Alligator mississippiensis: one gene and its partner. The protein of the gene in region 1 purifies or fractionates together with the protein of each later gene. This does not show direct contact. Links are inferred from orthologs where the notes say so. Each region holds a gene or a part of one and is shown on either strand. Other genes may lie near its edges.

The links. The genes of interacting proteins can lie anywhere in the genome.
Region 2: the proteins of FBXL5 (region 1) and CIAO2B purify together in Homo sapiens (affinity purification with mass spectrometry; 3 studies listed by BioGRID and IntAct, counting the BioPlex papers as one, with this or other methods). This does not show direct contact. The link is inferred for Alligator mississippiensis from reciprocal best matches to the Homo sapiens genes FBXL5 and CIAO2B.

The regions. Positions count from the first base shown.
Region 1 is NC_081825.1:32,953,221-32,961,922, reverse strand, and holds the start of FBXL5 (F-box/LRR-repeat protein 5), read left to right. Parts: upstream 1-5,025; 5' UTR 5,026-5,090; coding exon 5,091-5,174; intron 5,175-8,702.
Region 2 is NC_081833.1:62,366,464-62,374,078, reverse strand, and holds the start of CIAO2B (cytosolic iron-sulfur assembly component 2B), read right to left. Parts: upstream 3,708-7,615; 5' UTR 3,654-3,707; coding exon 3,518-3,653; intron 3,431-3,517; coding exon 3,351-3,430; intron 2,633-3,350; coding exon 2,507-2,632; intron 1,552-2,506; coding exon 1,506-1,551; intron 978-1,505; coding exon 880-977; 3' UTR 847-879; intron 1-846. Other genes in the region: CES2 (cocaine esterase), read left to right, coding at 3,837-3,888.

The DNA.
Region 1 (8,702 bases):
TTCAGAGAGTGGGCAACGTTGGATTGCTTCATCTTGAACCCCACAAATGAGATGGTCATGAAGCAGGCCATCCAGGAGATCACTAAACCCACAAAATTCGGCAAGGTGACAGAGCTCAGCCAGGCAATCTGCTATGCCTTCATTGGCCTTTTGGTCCCATTTAAAAAAAAAAAATGAAATCTCTGCAGGGTAACGGATGGCCTTGGGCAAAAATGTGCCTTTAGTAGAGCAATTACTTCAGCATAATACTTAGTGTTTAATAAGGCAGGCACTGTGAGGGAATGGACAATGGCAAATGTTTTGGCACCACAGACTGTCAGGAGGATTGCGCGCTTCTGTTCTGGGTTTTCCACTTCATTGGCTTCCAGGTAATAGGATAGCCTTTCCACATAAGAGTCCCAAGAAGCGTGCTGGCTCACATCAAATTCTTCTATATGCCCCAGTGTAGCCATCCTAACTAACATCAGCCGTAATAGAGAGAAAAGAAGAAGAAGAAAAAAAATTCCCTCTGATCACAAAACACAGCCTGGTCTCAGAATGTCATTCCACAATCTAGGGGTGTGTTTTCAGCAAAGGATCCCATCCTTGTCGCCAGAAGATATGTTGTGAGTTCATCAACAACACTCTGGACGCTCCTGGGTTGGACTAACAGTTATTCATTATTATAATTCTCTGGAATCATATCCAGGGTGGATCTTAACAATTGCCTTCAGTAGATGTATGCAGAACTTATACTTGCTCTGCCTCTGACTTGACCCAGTCCAGCCCTGTGGAGGGAGAGAAAACAAGAATGCCCCTGGCTTCTCATGGCAGAGACAATGGAGTCCCCAGTGCTGCAAGAACTGGGGAAAACAAAGGAAACAACCCTGCAGTGCTGAACATGAGGGCTTTGGCCTTCAAGGGGCAGTAAAAGTGTAGCAGAAAGCCCCCTTTTCCTCTTGCCTGCATTTGCCCTCCCCACTTTGGATATGTTTCTCTTTTTCTACCTTTTCTTCCTTCCTCTCTCTTTCACTTTAAGATAAGGAATTGTGTTTTAAAATTTGTGTGTGTGCATTTTGTATCTCCCCTTGTAGTTTGGTATTTTTATCTATTTGTGTGCCATGGCATTTGTAGCTTATATTTTATACTCCTCACCTTTCAACTTTCAACTAAATGTGTTTTAGTAAGTTATACATTGTAACAATGTTAACAAGGGTAGGAATCAAACTGCTCTTCCTTGTATCAGGCTGGCCCCTGAAAGAGCAGTGAATCAGTGATTGAATGTGTAACATGATTGAATGTGTAACATGGAAGCAGGCAGCAATTAACACCTGGAAGCTGCAGATCAACCAAGGGAAGAACTCAATAGAAGACAATGTAACAACCGGGAACTCTCCCTGGCCTGAGTTAATCAATGCCAGAGACAAACTTTTGGGCTGAATATCTCCACATCGACCACTCCCAGAGCCCTATTCAAAATTCATCAACGGACTCCCAAACCTGCATGTACATGCAGACGACCCCTGGGGCTGACAGATGCCATCCAGTAGCCACCGAGGGGGGGGAAGTCCCACGAGGGTCAACAACCCCTGGATTGGGCAAACCTGAAAACTGGGGAGTCACCAAAGTCTGCCAGGGACAGATAAAAGGCAGTGAAAAGTGACCCTCAGTGGCGCCCTCTTGATCTCCAACTCGACCAGACCTGTCCAGCCAGAAGGACCAGCCGGCAACCCCCTTCTGCAAGATAACACCACACTGAAAGAAGCCTCAACGACAGACTCCAGCGCTTGTAGGATAGGTATACCTGACTCTGTAGCCTGCTACTGTGTGTGTGTATGTGTGCATGTGTGTATGTGGGGACCAGCCCCAAGGTTTATGTTTACAGTGTTTCAATCCGCCTAATAAACTAGAATTTTAAGGATCCTGAGTTGGACATTTGTAGCCAACACAAGGAAAACACAATAAGACACAATACTTAGGTTGAAATCTCTTTCTATCAAGGCACCTTGTAAAGGACAGTTTCCTATCTGTGTAACTTATGTTCATGTGAAAACTTGCACTTGCCTATACTACAAAGCATGTTGTTTATCAATCCCAAATGTTACTAAATGATCTGGATCATTCTGCAGAATGAATCTGCCCTGACTGTTTACCCCCCCCCCCCCCCAAATTTGGGTTTTTTTGTTAACATTACCTGTGATTATTTTTTTTATTTTCCTCTAAGTCATTGATGTGCGGGCCGGGAGCGGTCCGAGGCCCTCGGGGGCACGTGGTGGGCTGTGGCCAGCAGCCCTGGCACACGGGTCGGGGAATGCAGGCCAGCGGACTAGAATTAGGCATGGACGCTTAGCGGTTGATTAAAGATTATTTTACTTACACTGTAGATGGTCGCGGTGCAGGCAGGAAAACTTGCTTGAGTTGCAGTTACAGACAGGAAAGAAGAAAAGCGGACAAGAGTTCCTTCCATGCGAACTCTAGCCCAATCCGGTTGAAGGCTCTAAAAACGCAAGCCCATCGTGTCAACCGAAGAAAACAACTCGGAGAAGAGCTCTGGATACACTCACATGAAGTTTGCTAGGCTCCGTGGAACTTGCGCGCAGGGAAGGGGTTCATCGAGGGATCGTTTGGTGACGGGGAGAGGCCAGAGGTTGATCAGACCCCTATAGCCTTCTTAAGGCACGCGCTGGGTTCGATAGGTTCCGCAGCGCTTAGAGTTCTTCACAAGATGTGAAGCCCTCCTCCTCCAGATGGTTGTGGAGTCCTCCCTTGCGGGGCTGTCCTCGGAGTTCTCCAACTTGGGCGGAAACCGCTCAAGCCTCTTATACGGCTAGCAAGCCAATCGCTAGCCGCCACGTGGGAATAATTTAGAACTGGCCAATAGTGGGACACAAATTTGCATGCAGGTGGTGGGAACTCCTTTGCACTGTGCATTTCTATTTGCAACTGAGAAATGCACCCTGCAAAGAAAGCTCCGAGTGGCAGGAAATAATTTAGCAGTGCCGAAGCGCACACAAACAAAATCACACCCTTGGGTTGTGACAATTGATATGTTAAATAGCATTGGGATAAGAACAAATGCTTGTGGCCTCCTATTTAAAATACTTAAATTAGATGGTGATTCCCCATTTACAATTACCTTTTGAGGCTTCTTGGTTTAGACCTAAGGTGTCATACCTGTGGCCCATAGGCTGGGTCCTGCTCACAGAGCTCATGCGATCCATAGGTCTCCTAGTGAGGCTGGGAATTTGGGGACTGGGTTGGCAGGCATGGGGCCCATCATTGAGATCTGGGATAGGGGACTCCATACAGGATGTGTATTGGCCAAAGTGGCAAGTGATGGCAGCATTAACCCCTACCCTCTCTGATGCCGCTAGTCCCACTCCCACCACCACCTGGCCCAACCCCCAAGGATCCCTTGTAACCCTAATTTGGTCCAGAGAGCTGGGTGAATTTGATACCCTTAGTGTAGCTAATATATGCTAACACTGATTCTTCAGTCAGAATATTGTGCTATACAAAGGTGGGTATCTTACAGATGTTTGTATTGACCCTATTGCCTGCCTTGACCAATTTAGAAACTCCCCCAAGTTTGCTCATTTGATTTTGAAACTTGTGTAGGGGTCAGGAAGAAATTTTACCCTATGGTCAGACTGGCACAGACTGTAGAGGGTTTTACCTTCTTCTTTAGCAGGGGGCATGGCCCCTCTATCTGAGATCTTGGGTGTATGTATATGAACAACGTGTTACAGAAGCAGGACACTGGCTGCCGTGGCCCCCTTACTTTACTTGGGGCAAGGCTGGGTGTTAGGTCTTGTATTGTGTCAGGACTGACAGTAGTTTTACTAAGAGTTTAGATTACTGATTTGTAGAGGATGTTTTGGATAAGGGTAATTCTGCCTCAAGCAGGGGCCTGGATTAGATGTGACTTGTCTGCCATGGGCCCCCTACTTTACCTGTGGCAAGGCCAGGTGTTAGGTTTTGTGTTGTGTCAGGATTGACAGTAGTTTTACAAAGAGTTTAGATTTTGGATTTGTAAAGGATGATTTGGAAGGGGGTGGGAGCGTCCTGCCTCAGGCGGGGACTGGATTTGATGTGACCTCTGCAGGTCCCTTCCAGCATGATTTCTCTCTGATTTTATGAAACAGTGAAGGGTGAGGTGGTGAAATCAAGGGTGGGGCTCAGCTTTCCTGGCCCTTTCCTGTCTGGCAGTAACACCAAGGAAAAGCTGTGGGTACTAGGGTGGCAGTGACCCCCTCCCTGACTCTGGGCTTCACATCTGATCCTCTAACACCCACCTTTGTCATTTACCTTTGGAAAGGTGAAGCAAAGGGCATCTCTCTCCAGAGTACCTGCCTACGGGCGTGGGGGTCTCCAGAGGGAGCTCTGCCAGCTGCAGGGACACGGGGCTGGGACTACAGGGGCAGCCTGGGCTGCTAGCGCCTGGCAAGGCGAGGCAGCTGTCCCATGCCCCAGGCGCCGCATGTCCAGACCCCTTGCAGGACAGGGCATGCAGCAGGTCATACCACTGAGCACAGTTGCCAGGTGTACAAATAATTATGTCTGTACAATAACTTCAGCCCTTGAACAATCAATAACAGTAAAAGTGTTCAAAATGTATGATAATAGTTGAGGCAGATAATTGACGCAGCATCTGCAAAACCCAAGTCACTCTCAGAGCGTCTTAACCAACTTTTGAGCTTGCTGTCAGCCTCAAAACAAATGTTTCAGCTTGGATGCCCCATTTCCCACTCACTGGGAGGGGCAGTGAGCAATAGCAAGTAAATAAGAGTTATTTGCAGAGTTATTTGCATATTTTTCCAGCAAACACATAATTTCGAGCTTCCAAGGCGATCATTTCATCTGGAAGCCCTGCCAACGCTGCCACCAACCACCACTCCGTCCCAGTCCCGCACGCGCGGGACAGAGTGACGCGTCTGCGCCTGCGCACCCAGGCAGCAGCGGCGGCGGCGGCGGCCGCTCAGGTGCCCCCAGTCACGTGACATGGGGCGATGGCGGCTCTCGCGACGCCCTCAGCGAGGCTGGGCGCATGCGCAGAACCGTTGCCGCCCCTGCCGCCGCCGCTGGCCTCGGCGGGGCTCTATGGGGAAAACATGGCTCCTTTCCCCGAGGAGGTGGATGTTTTCACGGCCCCGCACTGGCGGATGAAGCAGCTGGTCGGCCTCTACTGCGATAAGGTACCGCGTGCGCGCCGGGAGCTGCCGCCCTGCCCCGGCCTGGGCGGGCCAGCGGGACGATTTACCGAGTGCGCAGCTGTCAGCGCTTCCCCCTTCACCTCGTGGGCTCGTCCCCCCCCTGCTCCCAGCGGTGGGCTCGTCCCCCCCCTTCTACCTGCGGCAGACGCGCGTCCCCGCCCCACACCCCGGGGGCGCAGGCCCCGCCCCTCCGTGGGGGGCGGGGGTGGGCGGGCGTGGGCAGCGCCCCGCACCTGGAAACCCCCGAGTGGGGCCTGGCTGCCAGGGGCGCCTCATTCCTCTGAGCAGCGTGGCCAGGTCTTCAATAGGACATTATGCTCCTGGAAGCTCAACATGATCGTGTTTGCTAAAAAACTATTGCCCAGTGGAAAAATAGGCAAATACGTCTGCAAAGAAGCAGCCGCCTTATTTCCTTGACACCTGACTGTCAGCCATCGCGGAGTGATGGAGACCTGGGTGCTCAGAGTTGAAGCATTTCTTTATTTTGAGGCAGGCAGTGATGAGAGAGTGCTGGCAGCAAACCTGAAAGTCAAGTTAGGACTGACTCCCTGAGAGCAGCTTGGTCTTTACAGGTGCTGCATCAATGAGCTGCTTCAAAAATCATGCTATGCTTTGAAGGGTGTCCAGGTTGTAGCGGTATTGGTCTAGAGGAAAAAGCAATCGGGGCTCGTGGACAGAAGTGATATCTTTGATTAGACAAACAAGGTTTTCTCAGCAAAATTTCTTTAATTGCAAGCGTTCAGGCACAAACACCCTTCATCAGGCATCAGAGAAAAGACTGTAAAAGTTCTCCTGGATAGAAATGGAAGTTCATATTTCAGAGGATTTCATGGAGGCGTCCGTAGTACATTTTGAATGATTTTGCTCTTATTGATCATACGTTATGCTAAGGTTGAAGTTATTGTACAGATATGATACTTACTATATACTTGGCAACACTGCCTCCAAGGGGCAGGGACTTCCTCAGGCCTCTTGACTGCTGTTTGGGCATGTGGGCCGGAGCCCACCCAGCAGAGCTGTGGGCCCCCTTGAGGATGGGGCCGCTAAGGTCTTATCACTCATTTTTTGGGGACAACTCAAAGACAAAACAGGTGGGAGTGAGGATCCTGGGGTCGGAACAAGTGCACCAAGGCGAGCACCGAGCAGAGCATGCCGAACACCACCCGCTGGCCCACAGATGAGTCCACCAAGCCAATGGATGCTCTCCTATGAAACTGCCTTGAGACGGGAATGGACCAGGGATAGGAAAGCAGACCTAAACCTTTTTTTCTGGTTAGATATATTTATAGCTTGGTTGGGGCCAGGGGGAGGTTGACCAGGTCTTTTTGTCACCTTCAGTCACATGGACCTAGGCCCACCAAGTCCCACTTGCCACAGGTGATATCTTTTATTGGCCTCCCTTGGATGGATAAGCTACAGGAAAGGTGAAATTTGATTCCTTGGGACAAAACTAATGAAAAAAGGGACAGGAGTGGAGGTCAAAAGTTCAAAACAATGCCAAGGGAGGCACTGAGCAGAGCACACGGGACAGCACCCACTGGCCCTCAGATGAGTCAAAGGAGCCAACGGAGGCTGCCCAGCGATACTCTGCTCAGAGACAGGAACGAAGTAGGGCAAGGAGAGTGGCTCAGCAGTCCCTGGGGATCCTCCCGGCCAAAGCCTTCCTGGTCAGATACATGGCCAGCTTGGTCAGGGCCAGGAGGAGGTTGACCAGGAGGTCCTGGGACTTGATGGGGCCATGGACAGGGAGTCTCTAAATGAAAGGTGCGGAGAGTAGTGCAGCCAGAGCCTCAGCAGGAGGGGGTGACCAGTGTTTCTTTAGGTGGCCTGTGTTCCTGGGCCCCCTGTGTATTTGGGGCATGCTGATCCTAACCAACCTAGCCATCTACATGACCAGGAAGGAGGCTGTGGCTGGGAAGACCCCTGAGAGCTATGGGGCTCTTTTCCTGATCTCTGGGCTCGTGTCACTGGGCAGCATCTGTTGGCTCCTTGGACTTGTTTGAGGGCCAGTGGACGCTGTCTAGTGGCTCTGCTTGGTGTTCCTGCTTGGCACACTAGTTATTAACCTGTGACCTCCACTCCTGTCCTTGTTTTCATCATTATTTGTCCCAGGTATTCAGTAACACATCATTAGTGGTTTCTAGTGCTAAAGGGGGCTGATAGTTTCCTTGGTGGGCCTGAGCCTGTGACTCTTCTTGACATGTTAAAATTCCTGTATATTTGGGACTTGCTGATCCTAGCCAAGTTAGCCATCTACTTGACCAGGAAGGAGGCTCTGGCTGGGAGGCCCCTGGGGGCTGCGGGGCTGTTTACCTGATCTCTGGGCTTAATTTCACTGGGTAGCATCCACTGGCTCCTTGGACTTGTTCGAGGGCCAGTGGGAGCTGTCAGCTCTATTTGGTGTCTCTCCTTGGAGCATTTGTTTTAAACCTGTGACCTCACTCCCTTTAGTTGTCCCCCAAACTCAGTTGATGCATACCTAATAGATGTCTGTAATAACGGAGGGGGCTAATTGTTGCTGTCTGGCTTTAAGACCCAAGTTCCCCTTATGCATCATATAGGCCTGTGTAGTTGGGATAAAATGAGACCAGCTTTCAACTGCAATATGTTCTTCCTCAGGTCTGTCTGGCATCTGGGAGCTGGTCTCACTGTCCCAACCACAAAATTTCTGCTGGTCTCACTGTCCCAACCATTGGTCTCACTGTCCCAACCACAAAAGTCCCATAAAAGAGATCAGCCTAAGAAATCCTAATTGTTCACATAATTTCTAGACCATCACAGCTACAGCATTGCTTTTACACTGTTGTTTACTTTTATCTCATCCAAAGATTTGGCCTAATCATTTGGGATGTGTTAAAGTAGATATTGAGCTGGTTGGATAGGAATATTGGGGGAGGGGTCATTTTAATACTGACAGAACTCTGTTATAGTTTGTGCATTTACTTTCTCATTTTCAAACAATAAACTCTTTCGCTAATGCATATGAAGTGGAAATTTGTATCCAAGCATTAGAAGAAATAGCAGGTGTGTAGGATTGTATCGCTTTTCCTGCTATAGGTCTATTTACGTCCTTTGTACTTGAGGTCAGTTTTATTAGCTATGTAGCAGAAAAGTTTCTAGCTTCTCTGAAGTGTCTTGAGTTTTGTCCTTGAGTGATCTCAGTTCTTAATTAGATCAGGTTGGGTTTCCATTTATGCTGCAACCATAATCAGCCAAATCCAAATTCAAAGCTACCTTTAATTACCTTTTTTACATTTAGGTAAGAATTCTTGTGGGTGATATCTTTTTATTGAACCAACTATATGTTTGGTATAGACATAGACCTGTGTCTGTACTAGTGGTTCTTAACTTTTTTAGACTCAAGGCACCCCTAGGAAAATGCCAGCTTTCAGTTTTCACCCTTTTTTGATTATAGAAAAATAAGAGCATTTTTTTCTGTTGCAAAGAACTCACAAAGACCACAGCTATGGATTTCTAGTTGAAATCTCTGGGTTTATCTTGACTCATGTT
Region 2 (7,615 bases), on another chromosome or scaffold:
GGTAGAGAGTAAGATGTTGCAGCAAAGTCGAACCAGAACTGGCTTGAAGGCACATTTGTCCCTTCCTTGAGTTGTAATGAATGCAGAGCCTCTTCAGATCACTTGCTATTTCGTTTCTGATAGCACATCAGCATCAGGCTTCAAAACAGGAAGCATTTTGTAAGTTTGTCACTCAGGCTTTTTTGTCAACAAAATCCAAGTAATTCAGATTAACATTTTATGACAAATTAGATGTACCAACTACAGGAGAGCTCCATAAAACCATGCATATAAAATTACTTTAAGAAAATAGGCTAGTTTTTTTAAAGTGCATGTTTATTGCTGTATGAGCATCCCAAAACCCTGCAAATTTGTCTGCAAATGTGAACTGTAAAAAAACTCCACTTCTGAAGTTTAATATGAGCAAAACAACAAGTGAAAATGCCTGTCTTCATGTGCCAAGAACACAGAGACCAAAACCATTACTCAGTGTGCACAATACATTCCCAAATCCAGAATATAAATAATTCTTGGTTTAAGACAGTGAGGGCCGTGGCCAAGGTATGTGGAAATTTGTCTTTATTTTATGATTTGTTTTGTACTGTGAGGGGAAACATTTGTGTTGCTGTTCCTGAATTAAATATTATAAATATTAAAATCCTCTTCTGACAAAATAAAACTGTAATATTACATTAACAGTATTTTGGACACGCTATCTATCACTCTTAAGTTAATTTCCATAGGTTAACTCTTGGAAGAGTACTAGAACACTTATATAAAAATCAAAATTAGAATAGCTTTATTTTGCTTATAGATACATATCCAACTAAATACTAGCAGCACTGTTTATTTACAAAGTTAGCCCACCATATCAGAAAAGCAGAGCTTCTTATCAGGCAGTTAAGATCGAGCAGATAAACACTGGTTCACCACTTCCAACAAATGAGAATTCTCCAAAGCGGCAGCTACTCGCTCTTTGTCAGCAAGCTGTTTGTTTACTGTAAGGAAAGAGTCCCACAACACTTGGTCAGGGTACCTCAGCACGGCAACCTATTGTTAGTGTTTTACATACAAGCTGACTCTTCCTCAGGCTGTTGCTACGGTAGGCAGGGCCCCATGTTTTTCACAATTTGGTAGTGCTGAATGCGTGCAGAATTGTGCTTAGCAGTTAAGCATCACTTTTTTCCAAGATGATTGGACCTCAGTGCCACACACAACCCTAGTTCATCCACTATAGCTTTGTGTAGGTTTAACTGCCTGAAACACATTGTGGGACCAGAATCTAAATGTCAACCCCTTTGTTTCTTGCTGAATCTCCTCAGCTACCATCCCAATCCATTTTGCTGAATTTAATGGATTCTGGGCTGAGGGTTGTGGAATCCTGTAACACTCTTCCCTGACTTCTAGTTTGCTCTCTTGCACTCAGTGACCTTCAGATCTAATCTCTCTAATTTCCAAGGTTTATAAACAATGAAATACCTTTGCAGAACACTTTTTATATATCTTAGCACTGGGGAAAAGCTCACCTGCATGCTCAGAGATGTGCGTTCCCGGCGTTATGTGAACATCAACCTAGGTAAAATGAAATGTAATCCAGTTATTTATAAGACTGTTAACTTGCACTAGGTTGGTGCTCAGATGTGAAGTGAGGTCAAAGTAAAAACGCTTTAGTTCAGCAGTTCAGAAAGCAGCATCTAGTATTATAGTCCCACTCAAAAAAACCCATCAGGGTTGTTTGTCAGCTTCACACTCATGCCTACACACTCGCTGGTATCACATGCAACTACATGTATTAAAGCAATTTAAGAGTTTACTTTTCAAATCTGACAATACTTAGGCTTTGGTAAGTTCCATGGTCCCTCTCCCTCTCCCGGTCAGTTTCTTCTTTGTTTCAAATATTATAATAAGTTGGGAAGACAATGGGAAGAAAGTCTTTAAAAATGTTTAAAAATAAATTCTAGCTGTGCTACTTAAAGTAGTTTTGTCAAACTATTTTCCCCTGTATTAGTCCAGAGACATCTCATTAATACTCCACCAAAACAATTTCATAATGAAACAAGAAAACATAGTCCTTGGCAAGTTACCATCTCCTGCCAGACCCTCCTCCACAATATTCAAAGCAGCATAAGCTTTCATTAGGATAGGGATATGGTGCAGCCATCTGATCCTAAAACCATTAATTGGAAACTCCTATATTTTAATCCTACTTTGGTTGTAAACTCCCCTTTTGGACTGGTCATGGTAGAAAACTTTCTTCCTTACCCTCAGACTACCCTTTTACAAAAAGAGGATAATCTCCCTTCCACCAAGGATCACTAACACTAAATGTTATATACTATTTCTCACCACAGATCCCATTCAGTCTAATTTATTCTAAGAATCAGACTGATAACTGTGCCTGCTTGTAATTTAATCAGTTTCCTGGAGTATTTTCCTTGTTTCATAGCAAAAGGGAATGAGAAGCCTTAAAGAGTTTCTTTTCTTTAATGTTCTTCCTTCTCCTGTCAAGGCTGCTGTTATTACTCACCTTAAACCTTTCAGGTAGCGATCTGATCAACTTTACTTTTATTGACAAGCCAATTAATGTTGCCATACTACAGTGAGGAATTGTGGGAGTAAACTCCACTGCAACTGTGCTTTCAGCATCATTCACCTGTTGAAAAACAAATTATTTGCTATGTACAAAATGTACTGACTTTTCCACTAGTTGAGACTAGCAATTTAGATTTATAGACGTAGGGTCATAGGGACCTGAGCAGATCATCAAGTCCGACCCCCTGCCCTGGGCAGGAATGAATACTGGGCTCATATGACCCCAGCTAGGTTGTTATCAAGCCTCCTTTTAAAGACCCCCAGGGTAGGAGCCAGCACCACTTCCCTTGGAAGCTGGTTCCAGATCCTGGCCGCTCTGACAGTGAAGCAGCGCCTCCTGATGTTTAGTCTGAACCTACTCTCCAACAACTTGTGGCCGTTATTCCTTGTTACTCCGGGAGGTGCTTGGAGGAACAGGGTCTCACCCATTCCCCTCTAGTCCTCCCCCCAGTAAGTTTATAGACAGCAACTAGATCCCCTCTCAGCCTTCTCTTGCAGAGGCTGAACAGGTTCAGGTCCCGTAGCCTCTCCTCGTAGGGCCTGCCCTGCTGCCCCCCCATCACGATTATCCTAGTGCTTCAACCTAGTGCACCTAGCCGGGTGCGTGTGGCACTGCGCAGCTCTCGGGGCAGCGGGCCTCAAAGCACAGCGCATAGCGGCAGCCGCCCCGCGCACGATTCGGGGGGGCACGTGCCCCCAGGCCCGGACTTGCGCGCCCGGCCAGGACATACAAGCCCCCAAAATCCCGGCGGCAGGAAGCACGTGCGGGCCGCGCTCACCTTCACCCGCACCTGCTCCACCACGTTGAGCTCCTCCAGCGTGAGCGGGTGCTCGGGGTCGTTGATGGAGCGGATGAGATGTAGCAGGTCAAGGAAAACGCGGTGTAGCGGCGCCCCGCCCCGCCCCCAGCCCCCGCCCCCGCCCCCCGTCCGGCCCGGCAGGATATCGAAGATCTCGCGGTCATCGATGGCGTCGGGCAGGTCATCGTCCTCCTCCCGCGCCGTCACGGGCCGCTCGCCCGAGCGCCGGAACACGAGCGGGTTGGCGTTCTCCAGCGCCGGCCCCGGCCCATGCCCCACCATGGTCGCCGCCGCCCGCCCGCCACTTCCGGGGGCCGGGCAGAAGGGGAGGGGCCGCGCATAACCGCTTCCGGCCCGCTCGGGGCCCGCGTCGCCTTGGCAGCCGCGGCGGGGGCGGGGCTAGAGCGGGGGCGGGGCCTGCGAGGCGCAGAGCGAGGCCCGGGGCGAGGCCGGGGCAGAAGCGGGATGTGGCTGCTCGGGGCTCTGCTCTGCGCTGCCGGCCTCGCTGCGGCCTCGGGTAACGGCTGCGGGGGGGAGTGAGAGAGTGTGTGCGCGCGCGCGCATGCGCATATGTATATGCATATGTATGTATGCACATGGAGGTGTGCATGTCTGCGCACGTGTGTGGATGCACATGGGGGTATGCATATGGGGGGGTGCATGTGTGGGGGGATGTACATGTCTGTGCACATGTGCGTGTACGTGTATGTGTCTGTGTGCACATGGGGGTGTGCACGCACGTGTGGGTGTGCGCTGGGGGTTGTAGCACCTGGCAGATGTGCGTTGTTTCACACGAGGGTCTTCCCCACGTGGCCGGGCTTTGAGGTGCCCGGAGCCGGGGTCCTGGTCCTGCAACACAGCGGGTGTTGTGGGACGGAGGGGAGTCTTGTTTGGTGCGGGGGAGCCCGCCTGCCCGCGCTGCCGGCCCCCTCGTATGAGAGCGCGCGGGGATGGGGCAGTAATGGGGGCACCAGCATCTTCTCAGTCTTGGGGATGATCGTGTGAGGTCCCCGGAGCTTTCTCAGAAACGTGGGTGGGAGAAACGGGGGGTAACGGTTTGTGTCTGAAAGCGGGGGCACGAGGCACTGGTGGTGTGGACGGCTCTTTGTCGCCCCAACTCGATTTAACCATTCAGTTGTGTTTTCATTCAGCTGCAAAGGATCTCCGAACCAGCCTCTGCCCCTTCAGTTCCTTTCTTCTTGAACCCAGTTCATGAGCGTGGCTTGTTGTATAATTTGTTTCTCTCTTCTCTCTGCAAACTTTGCCCGGTCTTTTGTAACCTGTGTGTCATAAACCTCCGTAATTATAACTCCTTTTCATGCTCGGCGCTTGGTGTGTAACGGGCAGTCTTTGACTTGCTGCATGGCAGACTTTTTATCTTGCACTTTTTAAAAAAAAAAAATCTTATCCAGTGAGTTGATGTCCCTTTTGGTTCCTAGCGAGTATTAAACTGAATGGAGCGTCCTCAGAACATTTCATGGTTGTGGGGTAAAACTGTGTACGTTGCAGATCTGTTGCCTGAGACTAAAGCCAGATCCTGCGATGTGTGTACGCACTTGTTGTTTTAGTGATATTGAGGCCAGTCAGTAACCTAGAAAGTACAGTGCAACATAGTAATAGTATAAAAAATGGATAGATGTCCTTTTTAAGCATAATTATGACATGGCTGTAGTAGAAATAATATTTTAGACTTTCTTCCAACTAATTTTATTTCTTAGGCTTTTTAATCTGCCTCCTAATTTGGATTTCTTAGGATCTCTTCTGAGATACTGAATCTCTCTCTTTATGTGGGCAAACAGCATGTTGTGTGACTAGGCACTAAAGCTTTAGTTGGAAAGTTGGATACGTAAAGAAACGTTTCTTTGCGTTATATGAGAAGCAAGGGGGGTTTTTAGTAACACCTTTTATTATACCAACTGAACAGTTTACTAAGTACCCTTCTTTACTACTAGGAAAGACACCCCAATAGCCTGTGCTAGACAGGAGATAAAACATTAACTTCAGCATGTCTGTGAAAACAGCCGCTTAAAGAAGTGGTGAGAGGTCATAAGCTGGGGGTGGAAGTGGAAGAGGTTTGCAAAAGCCAGAGTAAAGAAGGTATCAGAAATATCTAGAAAACCAGTGACGCACAATTGAACTACATAACCTAATTTTGGAAAAGAAAATCGTTCAAAAGGAAAGAAACAGAGAGCAGGTAAATTGTAATAAGCCTTATTTATTTATTTATTTATTTATTTATTGCTTAGTCCATAATTTTTAGGGGTCAGAACAGCTTAGAATTTTTGTTCCCAGACCTGTTTTCTAAAGGTATTTTGTAGATTCCCTCTAGTACAAGGACTGAGGAAACCACAATAGAGGGATAGTTCTTTGGGAACTGTTCTCTCCTGTTGACTAGGTGTTTCTATCCTTTACCACGTTTCTGTAGGAGTTCATTCTAAAGTATAGTGGTGGCAATTGCCCCTACAGTATTACCAACAGAAACCCCTTGTTTCTTGCATATTTCCTGGACCATGAACACTTGTGGCAAATGCAATCACCTGGTGGTCTTGACTGGATTCTGTCTACTTGCAATGACACCATAAGCCTCTTTGTAAAAAAAAAAAAAAGAAAAAAAAAAGAGAGACAATGGATTTGAACTAGAGGATCTAATGGAAGTGTGGGAAAATGTACATATCCATACTCAATGTGTTTTTAAAAAGTTAAGCACATTTCAAAAAACTATGCCTTGCTGCAAAAGAATTCTGAAGTGTATTTTTATGAACATTTTCTTTCTGTATACTCCACTTCTTACACATGCTGAGTAAATGTATAAATTACTTAAATACATAGCACAACACTAACACTGATCTGTTTTTTTTTTCCTTTTGCTTACAAACACCATTTCTCTGTATATCAGCTGAGTGAATCAGATGCCTACGTAAATAGGAATGCTTTGATTCCACTGTCTACTTGGTAAAGTACTTGTCCCCCTCTAACCTTAATTCTTGAGACTGACTAATGCTGTCAGTGGCCAGGCTTCTAACGCAGCTCGAAACTGCCTCGCTTCTCCTGGCTTCAGAGAGGTTGAGGCTGCTGACATACATTCCCTTAAAAGGACAATAGGATCTGATCCCCAATCCCAACAGTTACGCCTCCTTCAGAGGGATGAATTTGGGATTGGGGATCATATCCCAATCACACCCTACTTGCCAGTGCAGGGGGAGTCCAGGATCCTGAGCCCAGGCTCCCCCTGCATTGCAAGGGTGCCTGGCTGGCTTTGGGGCCCAATTTGAGCCTTGCTACAATCCCTGGAGCAGTTGACAATCAGATAATTCTCAGATGGATTAAAGCCATACCAGGCTTGAACCTTAGTGTGATCCCTGCCAGACAACTATTGGCTGATGGTTGGCAGTATCAGGGCTGCACCAAGCGGCCCCAGTCCTGATCCTGCCACTGAGCAGCTGATTGTCAGCAGCATTAGGGCTGTACTGGGGTTTGAACCCTGGTGCCATCCTAGAACCAGCAGACAATCAGCTGGCCCAGAGGGACCATATGGAGCTAGTTGGAGACCCTGGTGCAGTCCACTCAGCCACATGTTCATTTTAAGACATCATGAAAACCAGCCACAAAGTTGTTATTCTTTTACTGTGTACTAATTTTGTGGCTGGTTTTTTTTTGTGCCATTACCCTTCTGAACATGTAGCCAGTTTACACTTTTAATAATTAACTGGTTGAATGCATCTTAAGTGTAACATTTGCCAAGGGCCAAAGATAGGCATATGGTGCTCTGAGAAACAGGAGTCTTAAAGGGCCATGAGAAATTTAGAGCAGGCAGTTTCTGTACCGAGTTAGCATTGTTCACCTTGATTCCCAGAGGTGCAAAGTCCCAGTAAGTCCATGCCCTTTTTCAAGACTGAGGCTAAATATATAAACAAAGTAATAGTTTTAAGCTTTTGTAATAATTTCACAATATTTAGAGAAATCCATTCATGGACGCTTACCCCTTTCTTTTGTTGTATGACACTTAAATACACAAGGTGCTTTCTGAATGTGCATTGTCACTGTTGGTAGGTATCTATGTGCTCAGTGCAGTTTTCCGTGAGCATGTCATGTGATCTGCCCTTCCCCACTTCATGTTGTTGGTGGGGGGTGGGTGTTGGTGGTTTCATGTCATAACTGCCACACTTTTCCACACTGTGCTTTTTGGAACTTGTAGGAAGTCTTGTGATCTATCCCCGGTTCCCTTGCAGTGTGCTTAGTGAAGT